Daphnia pulex: one gene and its partner. The main gene of each other region encodes a partner of the protein of the gene in region 2 in a complex. Links are inferred from orthologs where the notes say so. Each region holds a gene or a part of one and is shown on either strand. Other genes may lie near its edges. The genes, in order: DNA-directed RNA polymerase II subunit RPB3-like and general transcription factor IIF subunit 1-like.

Region 1 (3,508 bases), on a different chromosome or scaffold from region 2:
GGAACAAACCAAATGCTCCTCTTGAAGAGTTCTTTGGTATTATTTTTTTTTCACCCACATATTAAATTTAGAGGAAACATGTTACCTATAATAAAAATATTCAATGCCCAATACATCTAGAAATGTGGTACAACGTTTTCTTGTGGGCAATGTTTTCTTCCATCTTCATTCATTCCGTTGCTGCCATAATTGCATTTCTGACATTAAGGAAGCATGCAGTTGGAAGGTAAAATATACCTAAGCATTCCACATATTCTGTTACAACTAAATATAATCTTTTGGCAATAGGTTTTACTCCATCATAATTCTTTTGATGGGAATTATCACACCTCTAACAACAGGTGCAGTGACAAGCGCAGTTGTGTCATTTGTGTATGAAAACTCAGGACTAGTCATGGCTAGATGGCATGTTGCACTTTGGGGTGTGGGACAAACATTCTGCAGTGCTTGTTTTGGCTTCACTAGAATTCTTGCAGTATTATAGATCACCAATGTATTTTTCATATTCACCATATTTTGCTGTGCTACATAAGTTCCTTTTTTACTCCATGTCCACCTGAGATCTTATAAGACAAATTAAATAAGTTTGATGATATTCGGCTTTACTTAATTCTTCGTGTATTAATTGCATTAATACAAAACCATTACAATTATTTCGAACAAAATGGAAAATCAGTTGATGGCGAGGGCATCGTTTTGCACTTCGTGGCTCAATTGGGTCTGCAAATCAGAAAGTTTCTTCTTGAGAATAGCGATTCCCATTAAGACAATATTTTCTGGTCGTAAAGATCCACAAGATTCCACGTTAACAAAAAATTTGTTAGGTTTGCCATCAGGATCGTATGGGGCTTCATCTAAAAATAAATAAATAAAAATTCAAATAAAACTAGTTAAACCATAAAAATTCGTTTAAAAATTACGTTGATCTGATTCGCCCAGCTCCGAATATTCACTCCTTGGCCATTCTTCAGGTTTCGGGAACAAAGTATGCCTCAATGAATTATCAGGGTCGTACTCAAAGGCCACTCCAGCTGTTGGATTCCATTTTGCATGTTCTTTACCAAAACCTAAAAAAAAATATATATTTTCAAGAAGGAGAAACAAATTGAACTGCAACAAAATTTACCTTTCTTGGCATATGCCCGCATTTTGAGTTCTTGTCCTTTACGAAGCTTGACAATTAAAATTTCTAAAACAAACAAAAAAATTTATAATCAAACTCAGATTCCAAACTTTAGAAATGTTCTGCAGTACCATTATCATTGTCATCTGGTGGCTCTTCATCCCGTTTGGAGGTAGCTGGAACCACTCTTGGATCAGTACTCTTTAGATCAGCAGTGGTGACATTGCGTGTAACATCCTCAGAACATTTAACATCCAAAGTGAACTCCACTGAGCAATCAACACAGAAATCTGGACAAGTGCAGTCTCTGGAATACTGCATCTTTTCAACAGAGTCATCACTAGTCAGTGGAATAAGACCCACACGATGTGCCAAAAATTCATCAAACAAGACAGTGGAATTTGCTTCAAACTGGACCCAATCAATGGCTAATGTAGGGGTTTCAGCAATGAAGACTCGCCTCAGAGAGTTTGCTACACTGAAATGTGATAAAGGCATGATATAAATGTTCTCATTACCAACAATTTAAGTAAATACCTAAGGTCTGTGTCTGAAATCTGAAATTTAACATTTTCCTCTGTTAGTTCGGTCAATTTGAGATTTGGTTGATTGGCGTAGGGCATTCTTAAGTAAGTTGTATTATTCAAAACAACAAACGTTAAGAATAATTACTTGCCGGCTTCTCGTTTCGACTCTCGCTTCCTTCTGCAAGTCTGCAACAAGCTAGCCCAAACAATGAGTCGTGTACAAGAACCTCCTTATTCTGTCACCAGATGGCAGGTATTACGAAGGCTGTGCGGGAAAATTTCATTTTTCTAAAAATTGAAATTTTTTCTAAAATTTTGGAAGTTTAATGTTGAAGATGTTGATTGCGTATTATTGGTTTGTAGATTTATTTTTTGATGAAAGAATTCGATACACCGTTTCCATTATTTAGAAATTGTTTCGACTAAATATTGGGAAATATAAACCATGTTTTGTTTTCCTCTCCTATCGCGCATCAGAATGTGCGCCGCTTTTAACGGCTTAACCAACGTAAATTGACTCACCAGACTGTTCATATTTATTTTGAAGTGCAATTCACTTTTTGAATACAGTGTTGAAATAGTTATTGTTTATATTTAGATATCATAACTTGGCTTTCTTCAGATTTTTAACTTGTGAAATTCTTTTCGGTTCAGGTGCGACGAAATGGCGTCAAACGAATCGTCCGATCCAAGGTCCAAAAAGTTACCGGTATCGAAGGAAGTACAGGAAGTTCGCCATGATGGATTGAGGATCTGATGACACGTCACCCAATATTACGACATTCCAATTGCGCGGGTCCCAATCTGGAAGAAACTTTGGCTAAACGCGGTTAACTGTTTAGAAAGAATTTTTTTTTTTTCAATCAACGAATAAAAATCTCATTCTAGATGACAGTTGTATGTTTGGCATCACGGAAATATTACACAGCTAATGATATTAAAATAAAAAAAATGAAAAAATAAAAACTACACGCATATCATAATAATTAAATGATGAGAACCCAAAGTTATTTTTATCAAAATGTGGTGTACAGCCGGAAGTGTGGGAAATATAAGGAAACATAAAAAAAGAAATTTTTTGACATGTACATAAATTTAAAAAAACCCAAGGTTACGTAAGGATAATGCAAAATTCCGCAATCTCTCTTTCTCAAAAAAAAGAAAGAAAAATCTAAATTTATACCAAATGAGTATCTGTTTGTTTTTTTCAATACCGTATGCAAATTGTATGCATTATGCACATCGACGTCGGTTCTTTTTCACTTGAAAAAGAAAAATGAAGGAAACCAATACTCGAAGGTAATCATATCGTTTCTTGCCGTCCAGTTTTTGAATTCAAATTATCATTCAAAATCTACGAAACGGGATCAATTTTCATCGTAGAATAAAAAAGGAAAGCGAACAGAGTCGAGGGATCAAAAGTAATTTGAACATTGTACATCCCCCGCTGTATATTCCCCCCCCCCCAACACACCAGTAAACTTTGACTTTTTAAAATACAAAAACCAAAGATTATGTCATCAAACGCGTCAAAAGCCATGTAATATTAAGGACTGAGCTGAGGAGGGACGATTGGGGCAAAGGTAGAGAGTAGGAGCTGCTAAATCCTTGCCATTCGATATACTTAGTTTATAGGTGTCTACCTGGGGGGCTTCTCGAAGGAAATGCTAAACACACACGTAAAGCCATAGAGATATAAAGTTGGAGGAACTGGTATAAGGGGGAGGATGAGAGAACGGCCACTCAATATTATTCTAATTAGCGCACAATATTTCTGGAACCGAGGGTTATTATATAAGAGGAAAAGAAAAAATATGTACAAAAAGATTACTATCATCTTTAAAAAAAAATCTTATCA
Region 2 (4,497 bases):
AGCACCTTGCTCACCACCAAGAAATGTTAACTTGTCAGTTCAATGGCTGTTTTTCATCTAAAAATGTGAAGTGTTTCCAATAACAGATAACTTGTTGAAATAATACCAAAACTTACAACTGCAAATTTGTTTAATCGTTCCGAAAATCACGCATTTTAACAACCGTTCTAGTCCGTTTTTATAAACCGTAAAGGGAAGGCCTGAGATAATTTCAGTAAAGTAGCAATAGTGATTGCAGCACAAACAGAACACACCAATCATCGTTATTGTCGCTAAGCCTTAATCGACAAATACATCTTCCCTTTAATTGTCTGCTTCACGGGGTTGATCTTCTTCAAAATTTGTGCAATGTGATGGACAAGCTGGTCCGACGACAAACCAGTTTTCTTGCTTTTGAACTTCTGAAGCAATTCGGTCGTTGTCATTGGCTTGCGGGATAAATAACGTCTAACAGACTCTTCATTGACTCCTTCATTGGCACTGTAAAAGAAAAAATATACATAACGTTTCAGGATTAATTTTAGTTCATTATTTATAAATACCTAGATGATGATGCAGCTGAAGCGGCAGAGGCAGCTGAAGCAGCGGATGCCATGTCCAATCGAGGTTTCTTTGTTGCTTGGCCAGTAAGAGCATCGGACACTGCAGGTGTTCCCTTTCGCTTGCTATCTGATAGCGTTGTTTTAGGCGGCGATGTTTCAGGTTTCGTCGGAGTAGCTGATCTAGAACTGTTGGCACTCCCCCTAGAAATAGTTTGTCAGTTAACTGTCAGGAAACCAAATTACTGCACTTACGGTTTCATTTTTGGGCTCGGTTTAGCTTTCTCCAGTTCGGATGCTGAGCTCTCGGCACCGCTGTCGCTTGACGATCCTGATAAATGTTTCGTTATTATTTGACTCAAACACACGATGTTTTTAAATGGATATTACCATAATCCTCGTTGCGGGGCTTTTTATCCTTGTTCTTCTTTTTTTCTTTCTTCTTCTTTTTGTCGCCTTTTTCGTCTTTGGAAGCCTTATCACCTTGCTGGTCTTCGGCACCTTCAGCATCTTCCTCTTCTTTGTCTTTGTCTTCTTCTTCCTCCTTTTCTTCGTCTTCATCTTCTTCGTCCGAGTTAAGCAACTTGCGGAGAGCATCCTCTTCGGCAACACCCTTTAGTCCGTCCTTTGCTTCTTCTTTCTCGAAATCACTAGATTAAAGAACAACGCGGGTGTGTTAGAAAATCGACAAATGCATCAAGATTAATGACATACCTTTCGTCATCGTCGGAAGAGGAAATGTAATCCAACTCTCTGCCTTCACCATCACCATCATCGCTATCTTCGATAGCTTCATCATCGGACGCATTCTTTCGCTTCTTCTTCGGCTTAACAGGTTTCTTGCCTTTCTTCTTCTTTTTCTTACTTTCTCCATCATCGTCGTCGTTATCATCATTGCCGTCGCTAGAATCGTCATCGGAAGATGCCATCATATCGTCCAATTCATCACCAAAACGAGAATCTGAATGCAAAAGTTGTTATAATTTTGTGACATTATTTATGGTGGAACTTTTGCTTGTTGCCTACCTTTAGCTCCCTTCTTTTTCTTGCCTTTCTTTCCTTTGCCTTCACCTTCTTCCTCGCCCTCTTCTTCGGCGTCTTCATCGTCTTTCCTTAGTCTCTTTCTCATCATGACATTGAACATGTTGTATGTTTTGTTCCTCATGTTGTACCCTTCCTCTGCTTCTTCAATACTCAGTGGTTTGTAATTTTGAACTGCTTGAAAACTGTATTGTTCTTGCACAGGAAAGGCATCAAACACACCATCTGGTGCTTGCGTAAAAACGTAGTACGATGCATTTTCATTAATGCCACCATCTCTTACTCCTGTTTAATAAAATAAATATAATTGCACATTACTAAACTTTCTTATTGCTATCTTAGCTTGGTTTCCAACTTTAGTATACCTCTGAACTTTTTCCCACTTTTTCCCCCATGTTGTAAAATCCAAGGCTGGTTTTCAGGATTATACTTTTTGCTTATTATGCCATACTTCTTCCGTCTAGCTTCCTCACGAGCCTCTCTGCCATATTCACTCCCAGCACCAAACTTTGGCATATCTTCATTGAACCCTTTGAATGTGACTTGGTTGTTTTCCCTTTCCATTTTTGGATCTTTCCATTGTACAAAGTCAATACCCATTGAGCCATTGAATCTCATGATGGCAAGCTTTTTGTTTATGTTCCTGTGACAACATTATAAACTCGGTTTAAGAAGGCAAAAATCTAGATGGTAATGTCTGATATTCTTACTTGGGGACTCGAATGTCAATAGTCTGAACATTAGAAGCAGCAGCGGCAGGAGCTGATCCACCAGCAGCTGGAGTCTAATGTAACACATATTATTATGTTGAACTAATTAATTAAAAACCAAAATGTCTTTACCCTGGTAGCAGCAGGAGTTGATCCACCAGTAGGAGTCTTGAGAAACACATGTATTAATATTGAATTAACTGATTGAGAAGACAAAAAAATTGTACCTTGTTAACAGCAGACATTATGATGTGACGGTGAAAAACGATTGACAAAACAACTTCTCACCGGCGACACAATGATCGAGACACACCACCGATGTGTTCGTCACAAGTTCGTCACGAATGGTAAATAACTAACCCAACTATGCACGTTACTAAATTATAGGCCAAAATTAAGGGGTGGTGATCGAAATTTCTATGCCAAAAAATATTGGGACACTTTAAACAGCGCCAACGAATTTTATACCCGACCCGATACTGAAGAAAAATAGTCGACGACGACCCAGTTCAGTTTTCGTCTGCTTCAGTTCTTTTCTTTTCACGTCGAGACTGCACTGTCGACTTCCCGCCTTGAACCACATGATAAATTGTGAAAGGCTATTTCTCACTTACCTTATTAAAATATCCAAAAATGGCCAATCAAAAAGTTTTTTTATAAAGAGGTCTAAATTGTTAAGTAATATTACAAGTAAAGTAAATGATTATTCATTTTTCAACTATTGAAGTTCGTTAGTTCCAATTTTGGTCGCCATGGAATTAGATTACCTATCTATTCTCAACTGCCTAATTCGTTTTTCGTCATTTATTTTCTTTCTGTTGTGGAAAGCGTTCGTCATGGTGTTATCGTTCTCTGGGAGAAAAATATATGGAATAGTTTACCATGCATTTGTTGTGTACAGGAAAAGATTCCTGAATGTTGTTCCTAAGAAACCAGCTCTAGTTTCAAGAAACATTGGTAAGTTGCCTAATTTTTGAATTCATGTAACAAAAACAATCAATAACTTGTTAATCTGCAGGATGGATGCTGGGTTTGTTACCTGCAGTCTCTGCTAGTGTAAAAGTTGATGAAGAAAGAGAAAATAAGACCAATCTTATTTCTGAAGCTGATGTCTTGTACAATGAGCATTCCTACACCAAATTGAGAAGTCTTCTGTTGCCCTACAAGGTAATAAGAATAAACTGATTTGTCAGTCTCTGTTTTAATGTTGGAAAAACTTTTTTTAGGCCGAAGATAATGCCGAAATTCTTTGGCGACTGGCACGAGCGACGTATGAAGTAGCGAAATTATCGTCCAGTCCAATTGAACAAAAAGAATTAGATTTTGAAGCATACGGTTATGTTGAAGGGGCGCTGCTCATTGATCCGGAAAACTTTGCTGCTCACAAGTGGATGTTTATTTTGTTAGATAAAAAGGCGTCCTACGAGGGCTTAAAGGAGCGCATTTCTCAATCGTTTGTCGTCAAGAAACACATAGAAAGAGCGTGTGAACTCAACCCAAAGGATGCAACTTCATTTCATTTGCTAGGCTACTGGTATGACAAGATAACAACTTTTCTTTTGTATGTAACGTAACACATTTTCGTGCAACTTTAGGTGCTTTTCTGTTGCTGAATTGCCGTGGCTTCAGAGGCAAATTGCCTCAACCTTGTTTGCTACACCGCCCGTATCTTCTTACGAAGAGGCACTGCAGTATTTCCTAAGAGCGGAAGAAGTTGAGCCGAATTTTTACAGGTACGGCTTGGTTTAATTTTTCATTTTTCTAAATAATTGTGCATTTTGAATGGTTTCGTTTCAGTACGAATTTATTGATGCTGGGGAAAACATATTTGCGGCTCAACAATAAAGAAAAAGCTATCGCTTATTTGACCAGAGCTCGAGATTATGCTATCGCCTCGTCAGAAGATTTGGAGGTGACATATAACGCATTAACCTTTTCTACATTTTATTGTTTGATAAAAATGGTTTTACATTGATATCATAGGCCAAACACGAGGCAGTCAAGCTATTAAATTCCATCAGATAGGCCGCTGGCTCCAAGGACGCTCGAGGATATTTACCCATATCCTTCCACATAAAGAAAAATGTATGCGCCTCTTCTGTTTACCTTGAAATTTAATCAAAAATGTTTGTTTTTTTATTATTAAATGATTTCCTTGTGTGTGTGTTATCGGTACAACATGCAATAGTGCAACAGTTTCCCAAATT

What was found.
Region 1: general transcription factor IIF subunit 1-like (region 2) and DNA-directed RNA polymerase II subunit RPB3-like share a complex: the UniProt entries of both Homo sapiens proteins name them as parts of the TBP-based Pol II pre-initiation complex. The link is inferred for Daphnia pulex from reciprocal best matches to the Homo sapiens genes GTF2F1 and POLR2C.

The regions. Positions count from the first base shown.
Region 1 is NC_060024.1:10,723,738-10,727,245, forward strand, and holds DNA-directed RNA polymerase II subunit RPB3-like, read right to left. Parts: upstream 1,854-3,508; 5' UTR 1,747-1,853; coding exon 1,661-1,746; intron 1,602-1,660; coding exon 1,255-1,601; intron 1,190-1,254; coding exon 1,127-1,189; intron 1,068-1,126; coding exon 921-1,067; intron 855-920; coding exon 673-854; 3' UTR 602-672; downstream 1-601. Other genes in the region: transmembrane protein 170A-like, read left to right, coding at 1-36, 121-226, 289-484. UniProt on the Homo sapiens protein: Core component of RNA polymerase II (Pol II), a DNA-dependent RNA polymerase which synthesizes mRNA precursors and many functional non-coding RNAs using the four ribonucleoside triphosphates as substrates.
Region 2 is NC_060018.1:350,352-354,848, forward strand, and holds general transcription factor IIF subunit 1-like, read right to left. Parts: upstream 2,845-4,497; 5' UTR 2,536-2,844; coding exon 2,518-2,535; intron 2,459-2,517; coding exon 2,423-2,458; intron 2,365-2,422; coding exon 2,291-2,364; intron 2,224-2,290; coding exon 1,946-2,223; intron 1,866-1,945; coding exon 1,566-1,865; intron 1,501-1,565; coding exon 1,254-1,500; intron 1,190-1,253; coding exon 930-1,189; intron 871-929; coding exon 795-870; intron 744-794; coding exon 543-743; intron 481-542; coding exon 273-480; 3' UTR 113-272; downstream 1-112. Other genes in the region: regulator of microtubule dynamics protein 1-like, read left to right, coding at 2,872-2,954, 3,018-3,247, 3,309-3,457, 3,517-3,824, 3,886-4,023, 4,088-4,202, 4,274-4,315. UniProt on the Homo sapiens protein: TFIIF is a general transcription initiation factor that binds to RNA polymerase II and helps to recruit it to the initiation complex in collaboration with TFIIB. It promotes transcription elongation.